Macaca mulatta: one gene and its partners. The protein of the gene in region 3 binds, or shares a complex with, the protein of the main gene of each other region. Links are inferred from orthologs where the notes say so. Each region holds a gene or a part of one and is shown on either strand. Other genes may lie near its edges.

What was found.
Region 1: the proteins of GNAO1 (region 3) and C5AR1 are in contact, whole or in part, in a cryo-EM structure (PDB 8JZP), measured with the Homo sapiens proteins. The link is inferred for Macaca mulatta from reciprocal best matches to the Homo sapiens genes GNAO1 and C5AR1. Residues at the interface, in NP_066268.1 of Homo sapiens: Ala31, Lys32, Lys193, Asn194, Leu195, Glu318, Tyr320, Phe336, Thr340, Asp341, Ile343, Ile344, Ala345, Asn347, Leu348, Arg349, Gly350, Cys351, Gly352, Leu353, Tyr354; in NP_001727.2 of Homo sapiens: Asn71, Phe75, Arg134, Leu137, Val138, Pro141, Ile142, Gln145, Ile225, Thr229, Arg233, Ala234, Thr235, Arg236, Ser237, Lys239, Thr240, Val243, Val244, Ala303, Gln305, Phe307.
Region 2: the proteins of GNAO1 (region 3) and GALR1 are in contact, whole or in part, in a cryo-EM structure (PDB 7XJJ), measured with the Homo sapiens proteins. The link is inferred for Macaca mulatta from reciprocal best matches to the Homo sapiens genes GNAO1 and GALR1. Residues at the interface, in NP_066268.1 of Homo sapiens: Ser264, Asn316, Glu318, Tyr320, Asp337, Asp341, Ile343, Ile344, Ala345, Asn347, Leu348, Arg349, Gly350, Cys351, Gly352, Leu353, Tyr354; in NP_001471.2 of Homo sapiens: Thr70, Arg133, Ala136, Ile137, Ser140, Arg141, His226, Leu227, Leu231, Asn233, Ser235, Lys236, Lys237, Ser238, Ala240, Ser241, Lys244, Thr245, Thr248, Leu306, Ser307, Glu308, Asn309.
Region 4: the proteins of GNAO1 (region 3) and ADRA2A are in contact, whole or in part, in a cryo-EM structure (PDB 7W6P), measured with the Homo sapiens proteins. The link is inferred for Macaca mulatta from reciprocal best matches to the Homo sapiens genes GNAO1 and ADRA2A. Residues at the interface, in NP_066268.1 of Homo sapiens: Ile28, Lys32, Lys193, Asn194, Leu195, Asp218, Phe336, Thr340, Asp341, Ile343, Ile344, Ala345, Asn347, Leu348, Gly350, Cys351, Gly352, Leu353, Tyr354; in NP_000672.3 of Homo sapiens: Arg77, Arg146, Ser149, Ile150, Ala153, Ile154, Asn157, Leu158, Arg160, Pro162, Ile234, Ala238, Arg241, Arg383, Arg386, Phe387, Val390, Leu391, Phe444, Asn445, His446.
Region 5: the proteins of GNAO1 (region 3) and HRH3 are in contact, whole or in part, in a cryo-EM structure (PDB 8YN7), measured with the Homo sapiens proteins. The link is inferred for Macaca mulatta from reciprocal best matches to the Homo sapiens genes GNAO1 and HRH3. Residues at the interface, in NP_066268.1 of Homo sapiens: Ile28, Ala31, Lys32, Asp33, Val34, Lys193, Asn194, Leu195, Asn312, Pro315, Asn316, Lys317, Glu318, Ile319, Tyr320, Phe336, Thr340, Asp341, Ile343, Ile344, Ala345, Asn347, Leu348, Arg349, Gly350, Cys351, Gly352, Leu353, Tyr354; in NP_009163.2 of Homo sapiens: Asn69, Asp131, Arg132, Ser135, Val136, Ala139, Val140, Tyr142, Arg143, Ala144, Gly147, Ile221, Ile225, Arg228, Arg232, Thr345, Phe348, Arg349, Arg352, Val356, Leu360, Cys415, His416, His417.
Region 6: the proteins of GNAO1 (region 3) and RGS16 are in contact, whole or in part, in a crystal structure (PDB 3C7K), measured with the Mus musculus proteins. The link is inferred for Macaca mulatta from reciprocal best matches to the Homo sapiens genes GNAO1 and RGS16. Residues at the interface, in NP_034438.1 of Mus musculus: Glu64, Asp65, Gln68, Ser75, Arg86, Thr117, Val180, Lys181, Thr182, Thr183, Gly184, Ile185, Val186, Gln205, Arg206, Ser207, Glu208, Lys210, Lys211, His214, His236, Glu237, Asp238, Glu239; in NP_035397.2 of Mus musculus: Glu85, Phe86, Ser87, Glu89, Asn90, Glu124, Ala125, Pro126, Glu128, Val129, Asn130, Asp132, His133, Glu134, Leu161, Lys164, Asp165, Ser166, Arg169, Lys172.

Annotation. Positions count from the first base shown.
Region 1 is NC_133424.1:59,795,500-59,799,665, forward strand, and holds the start of C5AR1 (C5a anaphylatoxin chemotactic receptor 1), read left to right. Parts: upstream 1-1,366; 5' UTR 1,367-1,401; coding exon 1,402-1,404; intron 1,405-4,166.
Region 2 is NC_133423.1:3,566,015-3,570,018, forward strand, and holds the start of GALR1 (galanin receptor type 1), read right to left. Parts: upstream 2,801-4,004; 5' UTR 2,578-2,800; coding exon 1,912-2,577; intron 1-1,911. UniProt on the Homo sapiens protein: Receptor for the hormone galanin. The activity of this receptor is mediated by G proteins that inhibit adenylate cyclase activity.
Region 3 is NC_133425.1:51,890,716-51,894,215, reverse strand, and holds part of GNAO1 (guanine nucleotide-binding protein G(o) subunit alpha), read right to left. Parts: intron 3,366-3,500; coding exon of another isoform or gene 3,352-3,365; intron 2,272-3,351; coding exon 2,111-2,271; intron 1-2,110. UniProt on the Homo sapiens protein: Guanine nucleotide-binding proteins (G proteins) function as transducers downstream of G protein-coupled receptors (GPCRs) in numerous signaling cascades.
Region 4 is NC_133414.1:123,252,458-123,256,607, reverse strand, and holds the start of ADRA2A (alpha-2A adrenergic receptor), read right to left. Parts: upstream 2,801-4,150; 5' UTR 1,835-2,800; coding exon 437-1,834; 3' UTR 1-436. UniProt on the Homo sapiens protein: Alpha-2 adrenergic receptors mediate the catecholamine-induced inhibition of adenylate cyclase through the action of G proteins.
Region 5 is NC_133415.1:115,009,950-115,014,017, reverse strand, and holds the start of HRH3 (histamine H3 receptor), read left to right. Parts: upstream 1-1,268; 5' UTR 1,269-1,389; coding exon 1,390-1,639; intron 1,640-2,690; coding exon 2,691-2,857; intron 2,858-4,068. UniProt on the Homo sapiens protein: The H3 subclass of histamine receptors could mediate the histamine signals in CNS and peripheral nervous system. Signals through the inhibition of adenylate cyclase and displays high constitutive activity (spontaneous activity in the absence of agonist).
Region 6 is NC_133406.1:40,066,430-40,070,720, forward strand, and holds the start of RGS16 (regulator of G-protein signaling 16), read right to left. Parts: upstream 2,801-4,291; 5' UTR 2,733-2,800; coding exon 2,689-2,732; intron 1,808-2,688; coding exon 1,697-1,807; intron 949-1,696; coding exon 884-948; intron 597-883; coding exon 430-596; intron 1-429. UniProt on the Homo sapiens protein: Regulates G protein-coupled receptor signaling cascades. Inhibits signal transduction by increasing the GTPase activity of G protein alpha subunits, thereby driving them into their inactive GDP-bound form.

The DNA of each region.
Region 1 (4,166 bases), on a different chromosome or scaffold from region 3:
CATTATGGTGAATTGTATAATTATTTCATTATGTATTACAATGTAACAATAATAGAAATAAAGTACCCCACGAATGTAATACACTTGAATCATTCCAAAATCAGCCCCCACAACCTTTGGCCTGTAGAAAAATTGTCTTCCACAAAACCGGTCCTTGGTGCCAAAAAGGTTGGGGACCACGGTCTTAGAGAACCCACAATGAAGCTGGAGAGGATGAAGTGTGGACCCCATTTCCAAGACGGAGGTGGTTGTGGCTTGTGTGGCTAGTGTGGCTTGTGGAGTGGGTGGGCGGTGTGTGGGGTGGATAGCGCCATCTTCTATTGCCAACTTCGTAACCCTAGAAGGAAGATTTTTTCTTTTTCTTTTTTTTTCTTTCCTTTTCTTTTTTTTGAGATTGAGTCTTGGTGTTGTCAGCCTGGGCTGGAGTGCAATGGTGCGATCTCCGCTCACTGCAATCTCCGCCTCCCAGGTTCCAGCAATTCTTCTGCCTCAGCCTCCCGAGTAGCTGAGATTACAGGCACCTGCCACCACTCCTGGCTAATTTTTGTATTTTTAGTAGAGATGAGGTTTCACCATGTTGGCCAGGCTGGTCACGATGGTTTTTTTTGTTGTTGTTGAGACAGAGTCTTGCTCTGTTGCCCAGGCTGGAGTGCAATGGCATCATCTCGGCTCACTGCAACCTCTGCCTCCTAGGTTCAAGCAATTCTCCTGCCTCAGCCTCCCGAGTAGCTGGGATTACAGGCTGGGGCCTTCGAAGGAAAGAGATAGATGGCTCCAGGCCGGGCGCGGTGGCTCACACTGGTAATTCTAGCACTTTGGGAGGTTGAGGTGGGTGATTGCCTGAGCTCAGGAGTTCGAGTCCAACCTGGCCAACATGGTGAAACCCCATTTTTACTAAAAATACAAAAAATTAGCCGGGGGTGGTGACACAGGCCTGTAATCCCAGCTACTCGGGAGGCTGAGGCAGGAGAATCGCTTGAACCTGGTAGGCAGAGGTTGCAGTGAGCTGAGATCGTATCACTGCCCTCTAGCCTGGGCAACAAGCAAGACTCCATCTCAAAGAGAGAGAGAGAGAGAGAGACAGAGAGACAGAGAGAGAGAGAGAGAGAGAGGGCCCCAACTAGGGAAACCAAGGCCAGAAGAGGGGCCGAGCCTACAAAGGAACTTCCTCGGTTTTCCGAGCACTGGCCCCCGTTCTCTGCCTGGGAGGAGGTGGTTAGAGTCCCCTGGGTGTGTGCCCCGCAGAGGGAGCTCTGGCTGCAGTGCCCAGTGTGCAGACCAATGAGAGCCTCAGAGAGAAAGATGGTCATTTCCTCCCTGCATCTTCCCTTGGGGCTTTAAAAACCACAGCCCTTGGGCAGGAGGGACCTTCGATCCTCGGGGAGCCCAGGAGACCAGAACATGGTGAGTCTCGAAGGGGAATGGGAGCAGGAAGCTTTGCCCAGGGTCCCTCCCATCTCTGCTCCCCTGGGTCCTTTCTCTCCCCAACTGTCACCATCGACTCTGTCTCTCCCTTTCCTTCTGTCTCCCTGTCTTCCACCTCCCACCTTCCCTCTCTCCCACATCCCAGGCTCTAACACTCTAGGACTGGGATGTGGCCATGGGAATAAGATCGTCAAGTTGTGGGAGCCACAGCAACCTCATGGGGCTGGGGTCCGAGAAAACTCCCCAGGGGAGGGGACCCTTGAGTTGGGTCTCATAAGATGACTAAGAATTCCACAAGCAGCCGAGCACGGTGGCTCACGCCGTAATCACAGCACATTGGGGATTGTGCCAAGGTGGGAGGATTGCTTGAGGCCGGGAGTTGAAGACCAGCCTGGCCAACATAGTGACACCCTGTCTGTATTTTTTTAAAAAAAGAATTCCACAAGTGAAAAGATCTAGAGAAGGCCTTCCAGGCAGTAGGAATGGTAGAGAAAATGTTGGGAGGCTGGAAAGAACCAGTTTGGAGGAATAGTAAAGTTACTCACAAGCTCTTGCAGATAGATGTTCTTTTCTTTTTTGACTTGGGATCTTGCATGGTTGCCCAGGCTGGAGTGCAGTGGCACCGTCATAGCTCACTGCAATCTTGAACTCGGGCTCAAGTGATCCTCCCACTTTAGCCTTCTGAGTACCTGGGACCACAGGCATGCACCACTATGTCCGGCTAATTTTAAAATTTTTTATTCTTGTAGAGATGGGTTCTTGGCTATGTTGTCAGGGCTGGTCTCGAACTCCTGGCCTCAAGCCATCCTCCCACCTTGGCCTCCCAAAGCTCTGGGATTACTGGCGTGAGGCCATTGCACCCGGTCGTTTCAGATGTTCTACATGATAGAGATAGGGAAACCGAGGCCCAGGCAGGAGCAGAGATGGCCGGGGACCCTCCGTGGTTGGTGGCAGAATGAGGTTATGCCACAGATTCTGCGAGTGTCAGAAGGAACGCAGCCCAGGCTAGGTGAAGGTCCCCGTCATCCCTGCATCCGGCGTCCTGGGCACTGAGCCAGCAGAGCTGCGACTCAGCACCTGCTGTAACACAGGCATTGCCTTGCTTCATCCGTGTCAAAGAGGAAACGGAAGACAATTTGGATGGACTAGGGAGGGGACTCATGTTGCTTCATTCCTGCATTCCACCCTTGAGATCAGACCAGGGCAAATGGCACTCTCTGCTTCTTCTTTTTTCTTTCCAAAACATATTACAAAGTACCAAAGGACACTTGGTAAAAACTCATTCTCAGCCGGATGCGGTGGCTCATGCCTGTAATCCCAGCACTTTGGGAGGCCAAGGCATGCGGATCACGAGGTCAGGAGATTGAAACCATCCTAGCCAACATGGTGAAACTCCGTCTCTACTAAAAATACAAAAATTAGCTGGGCGTGTTAGTGGGCGCCTGTAGTCCCAGCTACTTGGGAGGCTGAGACATGACAATCGCTTGAACCCAGGAGGCGGAGGTTGCAGTGAGCTGAGATTGCACCACTGCACTCCAGTCTGGCAACAGAGTGAGACTCCGTCTCAAAAAACTAACAGAAAAAAAAGAAAACTCATTCTCCCTGCCTACCCCAGAGCCTCTGACTCCTTTTCTTTTCTTTTCTTTTCTTTTTGAGACGGAGTTTTACTCTTGTCACCCAGGCTGGAGTGCAATGGCACGATCTTGGCTCACCGCAACCTCCGCCTCCTGGGTTCAAGCAATTCTCCTGCCTCAACCTCCCAAGTAGCTGGGATTACAGGCATGCGCCACCACGCCTGGGTGGTTTTTTGTCTTTTTAGTAGAGACGGAGTTTCACCGTATTGGCCAGGCTGGTCTTGAACTCCTGACCTCAGGTGATCCACCCACCTTGGTCTCCCAAAGTGCTGGGATTACAGGTGTGAGCCACTGTGCCTGGCCCTCTGACTCCTTTTCATTGCCCCCTCCCCTACCCAGAGGCAACCACAGGATGCCAGTTTGTGGTGGATCCTTCCAGAAACAGTTTACAGATGTCTGAGAGCACAGATGCTTAGGGAACAAAGTAAGGACTAGCGTGATGCAGGGAACCCCAAAACCGATCTCAGCTTCTGTCTCTACTGTGAAATAGCTGCAGAGATCTGTCCTCTCCTTATCTTTTTGTTTTTTCAAGACAGTGTCTTGCTCTGTTGCCCAGGCTGGAGTGCAGTGGTGTGATCTCAGCTCACTGCAACCTCCACCTCCTGGGTTCAAGTGATTCTCCTGCTTCAGCCTCCCAGGTAGCTGGGACTACAGGTGCCCGCCACCACGCCTGGCTAATTTTCGTATTTTTATTTTTATATTTTTGTATTTTTAGTAGAGACAGGGTTTCACCCTGCTGGCCAGGCCAGTCTCAAACTCCTGGCCTCAAGCAATCTTCCTGCCTCGGCTTCCGAAAGTGCTGGGATTACAGTCATGAGCCACCGTGCCTGGCCACCCTCTCCTTATCTTTTTTTTTTTTTTTTTTTTTTGAGACGGAGTCTCGCTCTGTCGCCCAGACTGGAGTGCAATGGCCGGATCTCAGCTCACTGCAAGCTCCGCCTCCCGGGTTCACGCCATTCTCCTGCCTCAGCCTCCCGAGTAGCTGGGACTACAGGCGCCCGCCACCTCGCCCGGCTAGTTTTTTGTATTTTTTAGTAGAGACGGGGTTTCACCGTGTTAGCCAGGATGGTCTCGATCTCCTGACCTCGTGATCCACCCGTCTCGGCC
Region 2 (4,004 bases), on a different chromosome or scaffold from region 3:
AAGCCTTCCTTCCTTCCTGAATCATTCACCAGCTTCATAATTTCGGTCAGGTGTTCCTTTCCAAAGCTCTTTTTCCTTAAGTAATAAAATACGGGTAAATAATAAAATAGCTCCAAGCCAGAGTTGTGTAAATTAAATGAGATGGTGCACATATCAGATAATTGTGCTAGGTAAGATGGCCTTTGTTTAGCATTTGCAGAAGACCACATTAATAAACCAGCCGTTTCCCAAATAGCTAAGCTAGAGTTCTTTTCCAAATTCCCTTACTGCTACTATATTGGTGGTGGTGGTGGTGGTGGTGGTGTCGTTGTTTTGAGATGGAGTCTCGCTCCATCGTCACCCAGACTGGAGTTCAGTGGCACGATTTCAGCTCACTGCACCCTCTGTCACCTGGGTTCAAACAATTCTCCAGTCTCAGCCTCCGGAGTAGCTGGGACTACAGGGGCCCACCACCACATCCGGCTAATTTTTATATTTTTAGTAGAGACGGGGTTTTACCTTGTTGATCAGGCTGGTCTCAAATTCCTGACCTCAGGTGATCCACTTGCCTCGGCCTCCCAAAGTGCTACTATATTTCTTTATATTTAACCTTTTGGTGCAAGCCGTTCAGATAATATCCAGCAATACTATTATTCAAAATCGACACGATCTACATAGATGAAACAGGTGGGGGGAAACAGGTGGCTTATAGCAAACACTTCTGTTGATAAAAATACCTTGTGAATTGAGTATTAAAAGTGATAGCTGTTCTACCTAGTGAGGTTATTTGTGGTCATATAGTCACAGCCTTATTGAAACAGAATGAGACCGAGGTGAAGTCAGGGGAACCTGGTAACAGAGCTGTATTTCAAATGGCCACGCTCTGGAGCCAGGAGGCTGCGCACACTGGGGTTTACCCCGTGAATCGCTATCACCTGATTATTAAAATAAGCTCTTGTTTACGCAAATAGAAACACGTGTGTCAAAGGCTGAAGACGTTTTGATCAGTATAAAGTCTTCAAACACTTGTGGACGTAATGAAAAAGAACGTGAGTTCTGAGCTCTGCCCGGCTGTACAAAGGGAAAAACGATCTCCCACACGCGTGGACGGTGCCTCTGCTAGAGTTAGGGTGAAGATCCGCCGCCTCAACCACTTCACCCTGTTCTGGAGACCTTTCTAAAAAGGATTGAAATGGGGAAGCCGAAAGCTCGAGTCCATTCCATTCCAAGTTCCTGGAGCCTGCGGTCAGGACTCTGTAAAGAAACACCGTTTTATAAAGCTAAGCTTCAGAATAAAATTCAAAGCTCTGTCCCCGGGAGCAGTGGCTTCGCAGAGCCCGGTGTGCGCAAAGCCTTCGGAGCGAGGGCAAACTGCGCACCCCGGGGGAGAGGGGCCGCCCCGCGAGCCCCCCGACGGCCAGCTGAGAGCCCGGGAGGGGGCGGTGGGGACCCGTCACCCTCGCAAAAGGTTCGCGCTCTGGTGACCACGCGCTCCCCTCGGGTCTCACAGTGCCGAGGCGGTAACCTCCCCGCGCAGCTGATCTGGTTGAAGAGTTGCTGGAACCGAGCGGGGTTTGCGGTACCGGGAAGGAGGCGGCAGCGCCCGCCTACCGCCCAGGCAACCTGGGGGCTCTGAAGCGCCGCAGGGGCGAGGAAGGGGAGGGGAGGAGAAACTTGTTCTACCAGACCATGCGAAGTGAACTGCAAACTTTCCCCAGCATCTCTCAGACTCCAAGTAACTTTCTTGCGCGAGCCAATGGCAAGCTCCAGCAGCGGCCAGGGAGCCTCCCCGCACAGATCCGCCCCAGCACCGGCGGGGTGGAGGCAACTGGGGCCGGGCTGCCGCCAAGGCTCCGGCAGGGCCGCGGAACACTGGGACCCCCGGGCCCCCCACCCTCCCTCGCGCGTCTCGGCCCGGTGCCCGCCGCGCACCTTTGCATAGCAGAAGCAGATGAGCAGGAGCGGCAGCAGGTAGCCGAAGACGAAGGTGCACACCACATAGGCCTTCTTGTGGCGAGGGTCAGGCCACTGCTCCCAGCAGAAAGTCTGGTTGCTGGCGCGCGGCTGGAAGAGGCCCTGGTGGTAGGCCACGGGCGAGGCCATGGCGATGGACAGCGCCCAGATGCAGCTTACGCCCAGCAGCGCGTTGCGGGACACCCTGAGGGAGGAGGAGCGCCGCGAGTGCACGATGGCCACATAGCGGTCCACTGACATCGCAGCCAGGGTGAAGATGCTGACCAGCATGGACACGGTGAAGAAGTAGTGTATGAACTTGCAGATGAAGGCGCCCAGCACCCAGGTGGGCAGCGCGTACACCGTGGCCTGGAAGGGGATGCAGAAGAGCAGGTAGGCCAGGTCGGCGATGCTCAGGTTGAGGATGAACAGGTTGGTGGTGCTCCGCGGCTTGCCCGGCTTGCTGCGCGCCAGCACAGTGATCACTAGGCTGTTGCCCAGCACGCCCAGCGCGAAGATCAGGCCGAACACCACCAGCGTGACGAAGTTCTCCACGCCGATGCCGAACAGCGGCCCGGGCTCCGGGGCTGGGGGCTCCGGCCAGCTCGCGTTGCCCTCGCTGAGGTTCCCGACCGCCAGCTCCATGGCCCGCGGGGCTGCCCGGGCGAGCGGCGGGGCGCGCGGGGAGGGCGGGTGCCTGGCAGGAAAGTAGGCGCCGGGGGTGGTCGGTAGTCCCGGCGCAGAGCACGGAGAGCGCGAGTTTAGGAGTCTGAGCTTCCCCTGAGGCGCGCGCCAGCGGGCGCGGGGATCCGGTGGCCGTGCCTGAAGGCACCGTCTTTGCGCCGCGACCTTCTGAGAGAGGGCGGGGACGGGAGCCCGGAGCTGGACCTTCTCGGGAAGGGACGGTGGTCTTGAGAGCTCTAGATCCCCTACCCGGGCGCCTCCGCCCGCTGCGCGACCACGGAGCCTGGGAAGAAGGATCCGCCGGCTGCAGCCGCGCAGGTGGAAAGACCCTTCTCTCCGCCTTACAGCTCCAGATCTTCGCGGGCCGTTTTCTCTCGCTCCCGGAGCGGCTGCGGGCTGCACCTGTTGCTCAGAGCCGCTCCTTCCCGCGGCGCTTCCCCGCACTGCCGAGCGCGCAGCAGCGCACCGTGAGGCTCCTGCAGACAGGGCTCCCCGCGCCTCCCGCGCCACCTCCCCAGTGGGCTGGCGCCTGCGACTCCCTCCCGGCTTTTCCAGGGATTCCGAGGTGTCCACAGGGCGAAAGCTCTTTTGGGGGACTTCCTGGTGGTGGAAAGAGTCGGGTACCAGGGGCCTCTCGGCTTCAACTGAGAGACGAAGACGGCCTGGCTGAAATCCGCGCCCCCTAGAAGTCACGGTGCGCGAGCAGAGACTGGACGGACTCTCGCGGGATGGGTCGCCGCCCACCTCCCGGCTGGAACCCGCGCGCGCTCGCCTCCGCGGGGTGCGGACCTGCACGGCTGGCTGAAGGCGGGGCTGCCAGCTGCTGCGGGCCGGGCGGGCGAGGGAAGCCGGGCGCTCTCCAGGGCGCTCCAGAGCGCGCCGGGGGGGAGGCAAAGGGGTTCGCGGGCCCCCTCACCCATCAGTGTCTGTCCTCCTCCTCCTCCTCCTCCTCCTCCTCCTCCTCCTCCCCCCCAGGGTGGCTGTCCGTGAGAAAACCTCTGTCCCTGGAATAACCCCAGGAAATCGAGGCTGGCGCCGCTCCCTGGAGTTTTGTAAAATTGGCCGCCTAATCCCACCCTTATCCGCGGCCTGCTAGAGAGGAGAGAAGTGCGAAGGGAAAGGGCTGTGTGGGCTTCTCTATAGATGTGGATGACATTGAAGGAGAAGGCTGTTCACACCACTCAACCTCACATCATTTTTGCCTTGCATTACTCATCTGAGGGCCATAAACTGCAGCGATGACAAAATATTTTTAAAGTGAAAGAACGTGCTTAGTATCTTACTGCGGTAAATGTAGATTTGCCAGAAAGAAATTAAGCCGTTTCGGTACAGCAGGGCCAGTCACGTTATCTTTGTAACCTGGGTGGTTCCCAGCTAGAGAGCCGACA
Region 3 (3,500 bases):
GTGAGGGGAGTAGGAAGAAGATTGCTTCTCATTTTATATGCCTCTGCATTTGTTTAAATTTTTTTTTTTTTTGTAATGGATTCATGTTATAATTAGTGAAATGAGTAAAAATGTAAGTGGAGAGCAGGATTTGGTGAGCCACTAGAAGGCAGATTTGGGCCAGCTGGCCCTAAAGGCCCCTGAGGGTCTTGCTGACTCTTGGGGAGGAGGCAGGGCAGGGACAAGGAGTGGGAGAAGGGAGGAGGGCAGCTGAAAGTCACTCTCTCCTGCCTGGCTCTGGTCTGTGATTTGAGCATACGGAATGGTGGACACTGAGCTTCTGGGCTCACTGCCCTGACCCCCAGGGTGTCCCTGGGAGCTTATCAGGCCCAGGGACCTAGGTAGTCATCACCTGGAACTCACAGGACTTTGGCATTTGCCCTGTGGTCAATCTAGGTGTGCAGAAATGGGAAGCTGCTCCTGGTCTTGCTCAAGCCCCTAGTCTGTTGGCTGCCATGTGGCCTGTGGAAATGTCCAGGAGTGAACATTGGCCTCAGCCATTGTCTGTTGGCACTGCGTAGATCCGGGTTTCTTAATCTTGGCACTATGGATGTCTGGGGCCATGCAACTCTTTGTTGTGGGGGCCATCCTGCACACTGTGGGATGTTTAACTGCATCTCTGGCCTCTACCTGCTAGATGCTGGGAGCACCACTCTAGCTGCCGGGAGCACCACTTTAGCTGCCGGGAGAACCACTCTAGCTGCAGCCATCAAAAATGTCCCCAGATGTTGCTGAATGTCCCCTGGAGGCAAATTGGCCCCAGCTGAGAAGACCTGGTGAAAATGGCTGGACTGGATCATGTCAGAGTCTTCCCAGCCAGTGGGGTAAAGCGCAGAGGCTCCTTGCAGAAAGTCCCCACTGAATGTATGGGTCCCAGATTGCAATTGCAAAAGTGGGGTGTGTTTCCCAAAAGCCAAGGGGGCAATCCCAGTGTCTCCATGACAGAAGACATGTCCCTGACCGACACTGACCATCCCCGGGCTCTGGAGCCTCCAATCTAGGGCCAAGGGCACGGAAGCAGTGAGGATTTCCTTGGAGATGCCTAGAGTGATAAAGCTGCAGCCAATGGACCTGTGACCTGCGGTCATGGGAAGAGCCGGGAGCACCTTCTAACCAGCTCCGGCTTTTACCATTTCCCACTTCTCCATCTTCTCTTCTCTCCTCTTCTTTCTCCCTCTGTCCCCTTCCTTTCCTCCTTCCATCCTCCTGCCCTCCTGTCATCTCCCTTATTTAGTTATAACAGAGTATTAAAGTATACATTTATTATATTAATTAGACCTACATATTCCTTATTTATTTATTTATTTATTTATTTATTTATCTGAGACGGAGTCTCACTCTGTCGCCCAGGCTGGAGTGAAGTGGCCAGATCTCAGCTCACTGCAAGCTCTGCCTCCCGGGTTTACGCCATTCTCCTGCCTCAGCCTCCCGAGTAGCTGGGACTACAGGCGCCTGCCACCTCGCCCGGCTAGTTTTTTGTATTTTTAGTAGAGACAGGGTTTCACCGTGTTAGCCAGGATGGTTTCTATCTCCTGACCTCGTGATCCACCTGTCTTGGCCTCCCAAAGTGCTGGGATTACAGGCTTGAGCCACCGCGCCTGGCCCTTATTTTTAATTTTGAAGATAAGGGAATGGAAAACTTATTATTTTCTCTAAAATAAAACAAAATGGCACCATTTATTTTCTCCCTGTATGGCTGTTGGTTTGGTTTGTATTTCTGGGGTCAGGGGCTCCCCATGAAAAACCAAAGCTGCTACACTTGAAAGCCGTCTTTTTGCAATGCCAGGCACTCCTTGGGACAGGCCAGTGACAAGGTCCCGCCCTCTGGGAATTTCCACTGTGTGGTTGTCTCTTGTGTCCTCTGCCTTCTCTGGCCTCTTCCTTCTCCTAGGGGGGGCAGGAAGAGAGGCCCCTTCTCATTCCTTCCTGACACCCCCCACCTGTAGTAGAACATCTCCCGGCAGGCATGACCTCAGACGAGAATCCTTGCTCTGCCAATCCCCATCGCCAGTCCCCTTCCACTCCCGCATCACTGCCCGGCTCCAGACTGTGCGCCCGCCGGGACACTCACTATTTGGCAGAGTCGTTGAGCTGATACTCCCGGGACCGGTTGAAGCACTCTTGGATTCCTGAGTCGCCCCAGAGCCGCATCATGGCAGAAAGCAGCTCTGCAGAGAAGGGCTCGGTGTCTTCCATCCGACTCACCACGTCGCACACCATCTTGGCGTCAGCCTGTAAGGAGAGGTGGATGGTGGGCTTTGAGACTTCGGTGGGGACAGAAGACCCCTGCCAGCCAAGGGCTCTCCCCTGGCTGGGACTGTGATGAGGGCCCAGCCAGGGTGGCAGGACCACGGCTCAGCTCACAGCCTGCTCTGGGCAGGGCCACGACCTGAGCATGCACAGTCGGGGTTCATGGGGCCTGTGGGGCCTTCTACCACATGGACATCCTAAAGCAAGAGCTCCAAGCCACAGCCCATGGGGCCCCAGAGTTTTCCGGGGCAGGAAGGGAGAGTGGGCTGGGCTCTGTTCTCCACCCTCCAACTCAACCAGCAGCTCTGCTTTCATCCTGAAAACACAGTTATTTTGTTTGGGGGAGAAAAAAAAATCAATGTTCTTTGCTGAGTTGTAATTTTCTACACTTCTTACGCAGGCTGGAATGGAGTCCTTAGAACTGGGCTATGTGGAGGAGCAGGTGTTTCGGTGGAGAATTCTGGTTCGCTGAGGGATGGGCCACAGGGGGGGCTGTGCCTCAGGACTGGGGGAGGGGAGGGGCTGGTTGCCAAGTGAGTGCAGATGGCAAAAATATCTCATGCCAACATTAAATCTCAAGAACTTTGGTCCTTGGATTGCTCAAAGTCAAAGGCCATTTTATTAATTTTTCTTGATTTGTTTGTGACCTGGGGCCTACCTTTCTCTGGGGGCAGGGGAAGCCCCTAGGTCAGGTGAAACATGGGAATGGGAAAGGACAGGTAATGAGCTTGGAGCGCTCTCCTCCTCTGCCTCCTCCCTTCCTCCTTGTCTGAGTGGGTGTAGCTGAATTTGCTTAAGGTGCACAAGTGTAGGCTGAGCCTTCTTGAAATTACAGAAAAAGTACTGCATAATTAACAGGATTCTTCCCCTTCCCCTCATCCTGAATATCAAAGTAGGGTCACCTGTTTTCAAAGACTACAATCACATGCATGTAACATCACAATCAGGCGTGTGGTGTCTTTGAAGACAAGAAGGCTCCTGGAGACATCCCAGGACGGCACTGTCACTGCCACCTTGCACACGGGAGTAGTACTTAGTGTACAAAGGATTTGGTGGACACACTCCGTCCTCAGAACCTCCCCCACCTCAAGAGCGAGTGGCAGGAGCTGTGTCATTGGGCCTTTCACCCCTCCTCTGCCCACACCCGTTGTCCTGTGCCTCTTCAGCTCCTCCTGCTAAAGGCACTGTACATTTCCTGTCTGCTTGATGTT
Region 4 (4,150 bases), on a different chromosome or scaffold from region 3:
AAAAAAGAGAGAGAGAGAGCTGGGGATGGAAGGGGAATTAGCCAGGGCTAGGTAATCCTCTAGGTAACCATCCATTAACCTTTTGTGAGCCATGTCCTTGTAGTCCAGTGCTTGCTCTGAAGAGCTGTGAGGGCTATACCAGGGGAAGAAGGTGAAAATACCTTCAGGAAGCAATACTGATTGGGGTGGCCCACCGGGAAGATGGCTCCAGGTCAAGAGTGGCCAAACCAACAACTGGGGATGCGTGGGTCTGGCAGCAAGAACGCTTCCCTTGTAGGAGCAGCAGACGCCCGCCCGCAGGAGGCTGCAGAGCCACCCCAGAGGAGGAAACGCAGAGCAGACAGGGCCCGGGTTTCTGAGTGCCCTGGGGCTGAGCACTCCTTGGTGCCTTGCTGCCTGCAGTCGGCGTGAGTCTACGCGGGCGCCGGCGGAAACCTCACACGATCCGCTTCCTGTCCCCGCGGCAGAGGATCTTCTTGAAGGCGCGGCGGAAGTCGTGGTTGAAGATGGTGTAGATGACCGGGTTCAGCGAGCTGTTGCAGTAGCCGAACCAGAAGAAGAACTTGAAGAGCGTGCGCGGCACTGAGCACCCGACGGCTGTGAGCGTGTAGGTGAAGAAGAAGGGGAACCAGCACACCACGAACACTCCGATGACCACGGCCAGCACGAACGTGAAGCGTTTCTCGCGGTTCTGCCGCCCGCGCCAGCGCGACGCCTTGGCGGCCCCAGCGCGCTCCACCCCCGGCCCTGCCGCAGCCGTCCCGATCCCGGTCTCCCCCAGCCCGCGCCGTGGCAGGCTGTCCCCCGGCTTCACCTGGCTCGCCCGGGCCTTGCCCTTGCCCCGGAGGCCGCGCTCGGGTCTGCGGGGCCCGGGAGGCCGCTCGGCGTGGTCGGACGACGAGCTCTCCTCCAGGTCCAGCGCGTCGGCGTCGCGCGGCCCGGCCGGCGCGGGCTCGCCAGGGGCGCCGTTGAGCTGGGTGGGCAGCGGCTCGGCCTCCGCGCCCCCCGGGCCCGCGCCGCGCTCTGGGCCCAGACCGTTGGGCCTGCGCTCGGCGCCCCCCTGCGGCACGGCGGCGGCGTCCGGACCCCGGCGGCTAGGTGGCACGCGGGTGCGACGCTTGGCGATCTGGTAGATGCGCACGTAGACCAGGATCATGATGAGGCAGGGAGCGAAGAAGGAGCCGATGCACGACGAGATGACGTACCACTTCTGGTCGTTGATCTCGCAGCGCGGCTCGGCCGGCTGCGGGCCGCCGTGGCCGCGCTTCTTCTCGAAGGAGATGAGCGGCGGGAAGGAGATGACGGCCGAGATGACCCACACGGTGATGATGATGGCCTTGATGCGGCGCGGCGTGCGCTTCAGATTGTACTCGATGGCCTGTGTGATGGACCAGTAGCGGTCCAGGCTGATGGCGCACAGGTGCACGATGGACGACGTGCAGAAGAGCACGTCGAGCGCCAGGTAGATCTCGCACCAAGCCTTGCCAAAGTACCAGTAGCCCATGACCTCGTTGGCCAGCGAGAAAGGGATGACAAGCGTGGCCACCAGGATGTCGGCCGAGGCCAGAGACACCAGGAAGAGGTTTTGGGGCGCCTTGAGCGCGCGGCTCGTGAACACCGCGATGATGACGAGCACGTTGCCGAACACGGTGAGCAGCATGAGCAGGCCGGCCAGGCACACCAGCGTCAGCGTCACCTGCAGGGAGTAAGGGGTGGCCCGGGCGCCGCCCCCCGGCGCCTCGGTCCCGTTCCAGCTCGCATTGCCCGCGTCCGGCTGCAGGGAGCCCATGGGCGCAAAGCTGCCCTCGGCCAGCGGCTGCTCCTGGCGGAACATGAACGCGGGCGCCCGCTCGCCTGGGCCTGCTGCCAGCTGCCTTCCGGCCCGGCGCCCGTGGGTCCTCCTCTTCCTCCGGCGCCCCGCTCGCCTGGCTGCAGCTCACATAGGGAGGGGGCCGCAGGGAGGCCGGGCCCGAGCTGGGGGACCGCTAGCGGCCCATGGCCCGGGTCCCGCGAACTGCGCCTGGCTCGCGCTTCGGACGCTCTCGGTGGGCGCCTTCTCGCTCCGAGCTCCTAACACAGCCAAGTTTTATTTCTAAGCGGCGGGAGAGAGTAGGGAGAGCCGATGGGTAAAGAGATTTATTCTTCAAGAAGGGAGAACAAAAATCATCGGTGGCCTGATAACTTGGAAGGATGACAGGAAATTAAATATATATATACATATCGATATCTATATCTTGACTCTTGAGCCTGAGCGAAAGCAAGAGGTCTTACCGTGTGCGGGGCCCGCCCCCACCCCGGGAGGCAGCCGAGGGGTGCTGATGCGAGCTTGGGGTCCTATGTCTGTCTCCTTATATCCCCGAAGCGATTACCGACTCTCTGGCTTCCCCCAGACGCTGCGCTTCTGGCCGGGCCCGGCCCGGGGCTGGGGCGCGGACCCTGCCGCCTCTCGGAGCGCCGCGAGACTTCCAAAGTTGTGCGCCCTGCTGAGGCTGGGGCGCACTGTGCGGAGCTCGGGGGCGGCGGCGGCGGCGGGGTGAGGAGTGTGGGCACCGCATGAAGGCACCCCCGTCCTCAGGCGGGCCGGGGTAGGTGAACGATCAGCTCTGCAGGAGCTGCGACGAAGGCAGGGTGTCTCCTGGGCGTCCGCCAGGTGGGCGCCGAGCGCGACTGGATGGGCCGGGGTCCGACGACAGCGCGAGTTGGGCTTGGAGCGCAAGGTTGGGGGAAGAAGGCGCTGGAGCTGCCGGGCGGCGGCACGCCGGCTGCTGGGCGTCTGCACGGAGCCGCAGCTGCTACTGCTCCGCTGCGCTCACGGTGGACTCGTTTTATAGCCCCAGGATCAAGCCGGCGTTGCTGAGCAGCCAGCGTCAGCCCCCACGTGGGAAGCCGACCCTCCCCCGCCCCTCGCACCACCCCTCCGCCAGTCTAGCGCCGGCGCCCAGCGCTGGACCTCGGGGAGAGTTGCCCTCATGCGGGACCAGCCCTTTGGAGAGGCGCGTACCTTGAGCGAGAGGCTTAAAGAGGGAGCCCGGTGGTTGGGGGGGCGGGGGAGCGGCCCCTGCTAGGAGTTGGCCATGCAGCTCCGGGCCGACGGAGCAGAACTCGACGGGCACCCGTGAGTGCCCCCAAGGAGCTGGATCTTGGAAGAAAAGGGAAGAAAAAGTGGAGGGGAATCCCTGCCCAAATCGAGGGAAGTAACCTCCGGTGTGGGTTACATCTGGAGCAGCCCAGCTCCGGGCCAGAGCCGACCTGGTCCGCAGGTGCTCCTTGCGGCTGGGGAGAAAGGGGTGCTGGAGAGGGAGGAAGGCGCGGGTTCGGATGGAACCCCTGGGCGGAATGGACAGCACCTATGGGTAAGTGGCACAGGCCAGACTTCGGACCTTGGCTTAGGGAAGAAGCGGCTACGTGTCCTCCCAGCCACGAAGCTGTCTGCGGGACACGCGCGACCGGGGGTCTGGACCGCGCCCCCTTAGACAGAGGTGGGGAGGGGTCCAGGAGCCGAACGCCAGGACAAAGCGAGGACGCACTGACACCTGCTGGCCGCTCGTGGTCACGGCTGAGAAGCGACCCGCTGACGCCAGGCGCCTCCTCCCATCTCTTAGGTCTTCTGCCTACAGAGCCTTCTCCTATCTCAGAACAAATTGGTTTCTGAGCTCAGGAAAGGAGAACCCAGATTTTGAATTGCACCCTGTCGTGTTGCAGAAATCTTCCTAAAGCAGATACTCGTGTGTCTACCCCTGGCGGGAGTGGGGGTTTGTCTAATAAAGTCACATCAGGAGGGGCTCAGCAGGCACCGCCGGCCAGAACGGGCATCCCACCCTGGACCCGCACAGCCCACCCTTCCTGCAGATCCGAGAGAGGCCAGGATCCTGCCTCCTTGGTTGCCCCGCTCTGGCCTACTGGGAACCATTATGTTTTTGTTGAGGACCGAAAGCTAAACTCCACCCCCCGCATCCCACCCCCATTCAGATGTACACACACCATCCTTCAGTAAGGGGAGGAGGGAGTAGCCAAGGAAGGGAGAATATTTTCCATGTTCTCTCTGATAAGAATAGCGGGGGGTGGGGGGGGGGAGGTGGGCGGCGAATGGCAAGTTTTTCCGTGCGTGCTAGCTGGCCCAGGATAGATTTTAACGGTCACTAGAGCACTA
Region 5 (4,068 bases), on a different chromosome or scaffold from region 3:
GAGCAGAGTTGCTGCTTCCCTCTCCTGGGGCTCAGCTCCCTCCCTGCCTGCTGTCTGATGTGTGTCTTACTGTTGGTGGGTCTCCAGCCTGGCTCTGGTGGCTGCTTCCCTGGCTTGTGGGTGTCTGTGTATCTGAGTGTGGGCTTGTCTGTCTGTCTGCCCTGAGTGTTTCAGGCGGAATCTGTCCTTGACCCGGTGTATTTGAGCGCATGTGTCTGGTAGTGGGGGCGCTCCCTCCTGCCACCTCTCCTCTCCTCCCCCATCACTTCCCACAGGCGCTGACACAGCCACCACCTGCGCCCTGAGCGCAGTGACCTCGTCTGTCCGCTGCAGTGGCGACTGCCCCTCTGTCCACGGGGGTCCGTGGCTGGGCTCCAAGCGGCTTGCTGCTCCCTCCTCAGCCTGAGGCTGCCGGAACCCGGGCTAGACGCGCTCCCCTCCGGCTGGGTCCGCGCGGCGCCTCATCTTCCCTTATGTAACTCCACATCTGCCTGCGCCTTGCAGGTCACCCTGGACCCTGCACTGGGCCCTGTCCACAGGGAGGCTGGCACCCCTAGTCCGTGCAAACGGGAGGTGGAGCGGACCCCTGGTCTGGGCACCGGCTTTCCAAGACCCCCTCCTCCCCATCCCTTCTCCAGACGTTCCTTCCGCCGGAGACCCACATTCCCAAAACATGCACCGAGGAAATGCCCCACAGGGCAAGTTCCCCGGAGCGCGGGTGCAGGCGTTTCTCCCACCCCCACCCCGGGTCCCCACAGGCGCCAGGGCTCCCCATGATGACTGGGTAGGGGTCCCCAGGGCCGAGGGCACGGGAAAGGCCGAGCAACCCAGACCCCGGCTCCGAGTGCGCGGGCTGGCTGACCGCAGGCGAGCCCCCAGACCCGGTCAAGTCCCGGCCGGGCTCCCAGCCAGCTGCCGTGAGCGCAGGGGCTGGGTTCCAGCTTGCCTGGCGGGCACGCGGCGCTGTCCGTGGTGCTGCCGGCGCCGGGCGGGGCGGGGGCGGGGCGGGGGCGGGGCGAGGGCGGCAGCCAATGGCGGGGGCGCTGCGCGGGGCGCGCGGGGCGGTGGGCTGGGCGCGGGGCGCACTCGGCTGCGCGTTGCGCTCCGAGTGCTCGGTCGCGCCGGCAGCGGCTCAGGCTCCGGCTTCTCTCCCGCTGCAGCAGCAGCGCTGCTGGCCCCACTAGGCTCTGATCTGGCCCCGGCCCCCTCGGCACCGCCCGCCCTGGCCCTGGCCCCAGCCCCCCGGACCATGCGCTGGGCGCCTCCCGGGGAACCCCACCCGGCCAAGGGCCCGCAAAGACGAGGCTCCCGGGCCGGGGCCCCTCCGGCCGCCCACCTCTCGACTGGCGCCCTGCCCCGCGTCCCGGAGCCGCGTGAGCCTGCGGGGCCATGGAGCGCGCGCCGCCCGACGGACCGCTGAACGCTTCGGGGGCGCTGGCGGGCGAGGCAGCGGCGGCGGGCGGGGCGCGCGGCTTCTCGGCAGCCTGGACCGCGGTGCTGGCCGCGCTCATGGCGCTGCTCATCGTGGCCACGGTGCTGGGCAACGCGCTGGTCATGCTCGCCTTCGTGGCCGACTCGAGCCTCCGCACTCAGAACAACTTCTTCCTGCTCAACCTTGCCATCTCCGACTTCCTCGTGGGTAAATCCCCAGCCCCCGGCCGCCGTGGGACCCAGGGGCGCCCAGCGTGGCCGGGCCAGCGGGGACTGGAGCACGGACCTGGGTGGCTCCCGCAGGCACACGCCCCACCAGGGGACCCGGCCTGGGAAGGGGGTGTCCGGAGCCCACGGTGTGGGGGGCACAGGCGAAGTTCCTTGCCACTCAGGCCTCGGGACAGGGGCTGGAGAGAGCTGTCCCTGGGAAGGGACACAGGCACTGGGCGAGGCGCAAGGCGCAAAGGCAGCGGGTGCAGCCCTGGTTCCTGCGCTGTAGCCAAACAAAGGCTGCTGCGGACTTAGGACGCGCGCGGAGGGCGCAGTGGGGAGGTTTAGAGAAGGTCTGGGGGAGGGGACATGGAAGGGGGATTTTTAGAGCTGTGTTGGGGGAGGGGACCGTGGGGAAGGTGGGGGTTGGGGTAGACGCTGGAAGGAGCGCGCTCTCACGTGTCCAGGCTCTGCTGCCGGCTGGGGGGGCGGGGCACGCGGAGGGGGCTGGAGTGCCAGACACCTGTTGGGGCTGTGAGGTGCGTCTCCCAGACGCTCCAAGCCCGCTTGGCAGTAGTAGTGGCGGCTGGCTGCTGGCGGCGGCAACCAAGTGCCCTTTCAGCCGGGAAAGCCTTTCCTGCTGTCTAAGCTGAGAGGGAGGGCTGCCCAACGCCAAGGTAGGGCTGGAGTCCAGCGGGGGGAGGGGAGAAGGAAATTGTCTTCTTTCCTCCTTTGAGGGCTGGGAGGGCTGGACAGAAGTCCAGGGAGTCCCGACTCCAGGCTCTTGGGGTCTTGTGGTGGCCAGAGTTCCCCATGCCGGATCGTCTCTCCTGCTCCCAGGCCCAGGGGACACCGGAGGTGCTGGGAGCTATGTGGGGGTGAAGGCTGGTGGCAGGGCAGAGTTTGTGGCTGACACCAGGTGGAGGGGGCGGTAAGATGAGGATGGCTGGTCCCAGAAAAGCAGCCCAGGTTCCGTGGTGTCTGTGCTTAGGTGGGTCTGTCCCCTGTCCCCTGGCTGCATGGTCCCACTGTGGCCCTACTCCCCACAGGCGCCTTCTGCATCCCACTGTATGTGCCCTATGTGCTGACCGGCCGCTGGACCTTCGGCCGGGGCCTCTGCAAGCTGTGGCTGGTGGTGGACTACCTGCTGTGCACCTCCTCCGCCTTCAACATCGTGCTCATCAGCTACGACCGCTTCCTGTCGGTCACCCGAGCCGTGAGTCCCGGGCTGCGGAGCCCCTGCTCACTCCTGAGGGACAGTCGGGACGCCCATGGGAGGCATCAGGGTGGGGACGGCTGCTTCTGAGTTGTGGGCAGAAGTGGGCTTGGTCCCACTGATTTTGCTGCGGACACATGGGCCACTCGATGGCCAGCTGCCCACTCCGGGCCATGGCTGCAGCCAGACTGTCCTGGCCCAGGCAGGAGGCAGGGAATCTGGATGCAGATGTTCCTGAAGGCAGGGCTGTCACTGCAGCCCCCGCCCTGGGGCAGGTCCACAGTCCCCAGAGTTACGGGAGGATCTGGGGCCAGAGGCCCTGGGTGACCACAGTCTCCAGAGTTAAGGGAGGATCTGGGGCCAGAGGCCCTGGGTGACATCCCTCACACATGCGTGTGTGTGCAAGCGTGCACACACACACAGGCCCCGGGAAGGCAGGCGGCAGATCCTGGCTCCACAGATTTCCCTTTGTGGGAGCGGCCACCTGAGTCAGGGACTCTGCCCCACCCGGGCTCCTGTATCAGGGCCATGCAGCCCATGGAGCCGCTGCTGAAGTCACTCCTTCCCCTTCTCATCTCCTTGGCAGCTCACCTCCACAGGGCTTTATGGGGCCTCTGCAGGACTGAGGGCAGGCTGTTTCGTTCTAGACTAGAAAGGCCAAGAGACAGGGTGCAAAGAGCATGCATTTGGGGTCCTCTTGAGCCCATCCCCCTGTGGTCTCTCCCTCCTTTCCTGGAGCCACCAGGCATGGGGCACAAGGAGAGCTGCCACGAAGGGTAAAGCGGCCAAGCAGAGAGCCTGGCATGGGGGTGCTCTGCCCACCTCTCATTAGCAATAGCTGTAAACATTGCTCCCGCTCTCACCAAGGTAAATGCCATCAGGCTTGTGGGGGAGGGTGGCAGGGTTCTCAGGTCCTCCTCCTCCAGCTGTCCTACCTGGGACCCCTCAATGGGATCCCTTGGCCCTCCTGCCCCCTGCCCCCACCAGCTGGTTGCTCTCTGCCCTGGGGAGGGCCCTGCCCTCCCTCCCTGTTCTGTCCCAGAGGCCCTGATGTCGATCTGGGATGCTTTGTTCTGTGGCGGGGCGGGGGATGTCTCCCAGCAGTGGGCCAGCTTGTGGCTTCATTCCTGCACTTCCAGCTCCCAGGGGTGCGAGCACCTGCGCAGGAGTGGGGCTGGACCTCCCACCCCAACCTCTGGAGATGGCTCGGG
Region 6 (4,291 bases), on a different chromosome or scaffold from region 3:
GCAGCTGCCATGCATAGTGGCCGGGAGGGAAGGTAGACAAAAAAATCACAGACTACAGACCTGCAGGCCTCAGGCAGGTCAGCCTGGGGACTGAGCCAGGTTATATAAGGTCCCTGTGCTGACCTTGTCTCCCCAGTTGGTAAGTGTTTTGAGCCTCTAAAAAGGGATGGATTTATAAAGATGGGTATGGATAGAAGCCGAAAAACCTGCCAATCCATCCTGCCCCATCATGAGTCATAGGGTTAAGCACCCAGGAGTGGCACTGAGCCCGGCTTTTCTAGTGTCTGGTCACAGAAGCCCATTCACCCCTGTGCCAAGTAAGGCCCTTCTACTTCTACACCTAGCCTTTCCTCCCCACTAGCCCTCACTCTCAGAGGGGAAGGAGCAGGCAGGGTCGTGAGGATTCACTGGGCATATGGGGGCTCTAACCTCTTTAGGGGCCTCGCTGCAGATGAACTCCTCAAAGATCCGGTGTGCCCTGGAGGCCCGCTTGGTAGCTGATTGGATCTTCTTGAACTCCTCACAGGCCAGCCAGAACTCCAGGTTCTCCTCACTGAACTCCGTCTTGAGGAAAGCGTGGAAAGCAGCCACTCCATCTGGGGTTACAGGAAAGAGGCGGAAACAGGTCAGCCAGAGGGACAGCAGGGAATACAAGAAGAAAGGAAAGCAATTGCACGTAATGGCTCTATTTTTAGAACATAATTTTCTTGAACAAGGACCTGCCTTTGTGTGTTGAATAGAGGCTGGCACACTAGGGGATCATTATTATTATTATTACTACTACTATTATTCTGCCCAGGCTCTCAGCAGTCCTGGAGCTGGTTCCAAAGCACATGAGTATACACGTGCCACCCAGAGACAGACACAAAAGGCTCCTACTCACTTTTACTGCTCAGCAGCAGGTCGAACGACTCTCTCCACCCCAGCACATCTTCTGAGAAGTTTCTACTAAAAGACAAAAAGAAAAAAAAAGAGTAAGAAAAAAAAATCAACAAACCAAAGCATAGTACAAATTCTAGCCAGAACTCTGATGGAAAATTGCGTAAAATTCACAGAAAGGCTTGCCTTGGTGATTGTTGAAGCTGACACCTCAAACTCCTAGTTGGACTTAGGGTAAGCAGTAATGTTTTCTAGAGGACAATTCGGCAACCAGAAATCAAAGCCAGGGACTCCTTTAGTCTTCAGTTAATATCTCTAAGCCTGTCTCTTCTCTGTCCAAAAATTATTTCAATTCCCCTGACTCTCAAAGATTTGTTTTGTACACCTTCCCAAGGACATAAGGGCCTCATAAATAGAGATTACATCTACACATAACTCCAGAGTTTGGTACAGTTGATAGCCAATATGAAAGGGTTTCTAGGCAAGGTGCATGCTAGAGTCATTAATAAAAACCTCAAGTGGCCTTGGACTCTGTCCTAGCCCTGGATGCATGTGCAATGAAACCCCAGGTGGGAGAGTCTGGTTAACTAGGCATTCATGCCCTGTGTGCCCTCATCCGTGGATAGACTTGGAGCCCTGGAGCCACCTACCCACTCACCCATGAGCCAAGTAGTCATAACAGACCAGCAACAAGTCTCACTAAAATCTCTAGGGAGGCGTTGCCAAGATCCACTTAGTGTGTCCTGGCTTCTCCTTATATTTCCCTCCTTCCCGCTCCCTTCCCTCTCGGAGCCCTGAGCTGGTCAGCAACACTTACTTCTCTTTGCCGTGTTTACTGCCCCACTCGAACTTGCCACTACTCCCAGTATCACAGCCCAGCTCTGATTTGTGAAGAAAGATCCCCAGACGTGTCTTGAACTCTTTGGCTCTGAAAAACAAATCAGGAACATGAAAGGATTCTCATTTGCTCAGCCAGTGTGGAGAGGTTTATGTGTCCCAGAAGAGCTCTGGGTGGTGCCACCCAAAGTTTAGCCTCAAGAGTTCCTGGAAACTCTTGGCTGTTCCCAGGACCCAAATTGTGCTTATCAGTATCATCAACCCCAAAGCAACAAAAGCAATGTTTGAGCTATGCCGTGGTAGACCTTACACTTTCTGGGTAATACACACGCTCATATATGGGCTTTTCCCTAAAGTCACACTGATCTCTCTTCGTGCCTGTTGATTCAGAAAAGAACTCAGCATTCTTTTCAGGAGTATTTCTGAACTGTGGGAAACTGATTCCTGCCTTCATCTTTACGTTTTCCTTCCCAGCCAGTAACGACTGGAAGCTGTTGAGTTGCTCTCTGGAATATGGACACACCCTCAACAGTGGGATCCCCCTGCCCCACCACACCCCACAAAAAAAAAAAAAAAAAAAAAAAAATCTCCCTGCCTTCCAGGGGCAGAGGAGGCAATGCCCCTAGCTCTGGTCTGAGGAATGAAAAACAAGTGCTTAAGCAATAGGCAGGCTCAGTTCTGCCTGGAAATGTCAACGTGGCCTTCCTGCAGCCAGGTCTTCAGCAGGTCACCTGAGCACGACTGCAGTTTGTCAGAGGATGGGGATGGCAGCAAGCAGCGGGCCCTTGCTTCCCTTCCCCTTGCTTTCTCCCTGCTCCTGGAATCTAAGCACGTGGCATCAGGTTCGCCTCTACCTCTCTACTTAAGCCTCCAGCGCCCCATCCCCGCGCCCACCCAGGTCCCCAGGCCTGCCGCTCCACTCCCTAAGAGTTGGTGGGACTTCCCGCAAGCAGTTGGACAAGCTCCCCTTACCTCTCCAGGCAGGTGGTGGGGAAGGCGGCCAGGGTACGGCACATGGCTGCGGGCGCGGGGCAGCACGTAGCCGGCAGGATGGTGGCAGGCTCCAGGAGGCTCCGCGAGCGCTAGGAAGCAAAGCGCGGTAGCAGGTGCTAATCAACTGGGGTTGGCTTTAGCAGCCTGCAAGCACCCAGACTTCGCGGCCGCTGCTTTAATCCCCTCGGAGGAACGGGGCTGGGCACTGCTGACCAATCGGAGGGCGGGGCTGGACACTGAGAAGGCGGAGGCGGGGCCCACAGCCAGACTGGGCCGGGCGCAACTTTCGCCGCAGCTGGAGCACGCGGAGCTGCACCCTCCCTCCGGAGGACGCCGCGTGTGGAAGGAGAAGCGGCAAGAGAATTGGCACGGGGATGAGACGTGCACACCCAGTTTCCTAGGGAAAAATACCTGCTGACCTCTAGTAACAACAGAAAACTCACGCAGCGGTGTCGTGTTGCAAGAGATTCCACGGGGCTGGTGGGTCTGAGAGGCACACAGGGCTTTGATCGCAGGTAAGTCTGAGCCTGCTGGGTCCTGAAGGACAGGCGCACAGGGTGCAAACCTGGCAAAACAGTTTCTTTTTTTTTTTTTTTTTTTTTTTTTTGAGACGGAGTCTCGCTCTGTCGCCCAGGCTGGAGTGCAGTGGCCGGATCTCAGCTCACTGTAAGCTCCGCCTCCCGGGTTCACGCCATTCTCCTGCCTCAGTCTCCCGAGTAGCTGGGACTACAGGCGCCCGCCACCTCGCCCGGCTAGTTTTTTATATTTTTTAGTAGAGATGGGGTTTCACCGTGTTAGCCAGGATGGTCTCGATCTCCTGACCTCGTGATCCGCCCGTCTCGGCCTCCCAAAGTGCTGGGATTACAGGCTTGAGCCACCGCGCCCGGCCAACAGTTTCTAATTATACTGATAAGTACCCTTTACGAGGCTCCTACCCCGATGGACATGGGGCTAAGTAAGATCTTCTTCTTCATCATCATCTCCATTTTATAGTTGAAGAAACCGAGAATCAGAAAGCTAAATAAACTTGCTCAAGATCACAGTTGGAGATGACAGACAAATGGGATAGGGATGAGTATTTTATTGAACACCTACTATGTGCCAGTCACATAACTAAGACTCATATTAAATAACTTGCTCAAAGATGTGCAGCTAGTAGGTGTTGGCTCCAAAATTCAAATGTGAATTTACCATTCTTTTTCCATTGCACCCTCCCCGCTCCCCCCTCTCCCCCGCTCCCCCCTCTCCCCCGCTCCCCCCTCTCCCCTGCCCCACACACACCCGCAAAGGTTAGTAATCCAGTCACAGCTATACCTGTGGACGATCCTGGGTTTAGGTAGTTGCTACCTTAGTGTCTATCTCTGAGATAAAGGTAATAAATACCCTGCCTCTCTCCTCACCTTCCCACAAAGGTATTGGGAGTGCTATTAAGAGGCTGCATGTGAGGTTAAGAGTACAGGGTCTAGAGTTAGATTTTCAGGTTTCAAGTCATGGCTCTGCCAGGTGACCTGCTGAAGACCCAGCTGCAGGAAGGCCCCGTTAACTGTTAACTGGCTCTGCCAGTTACTGATGGGAGACTAGG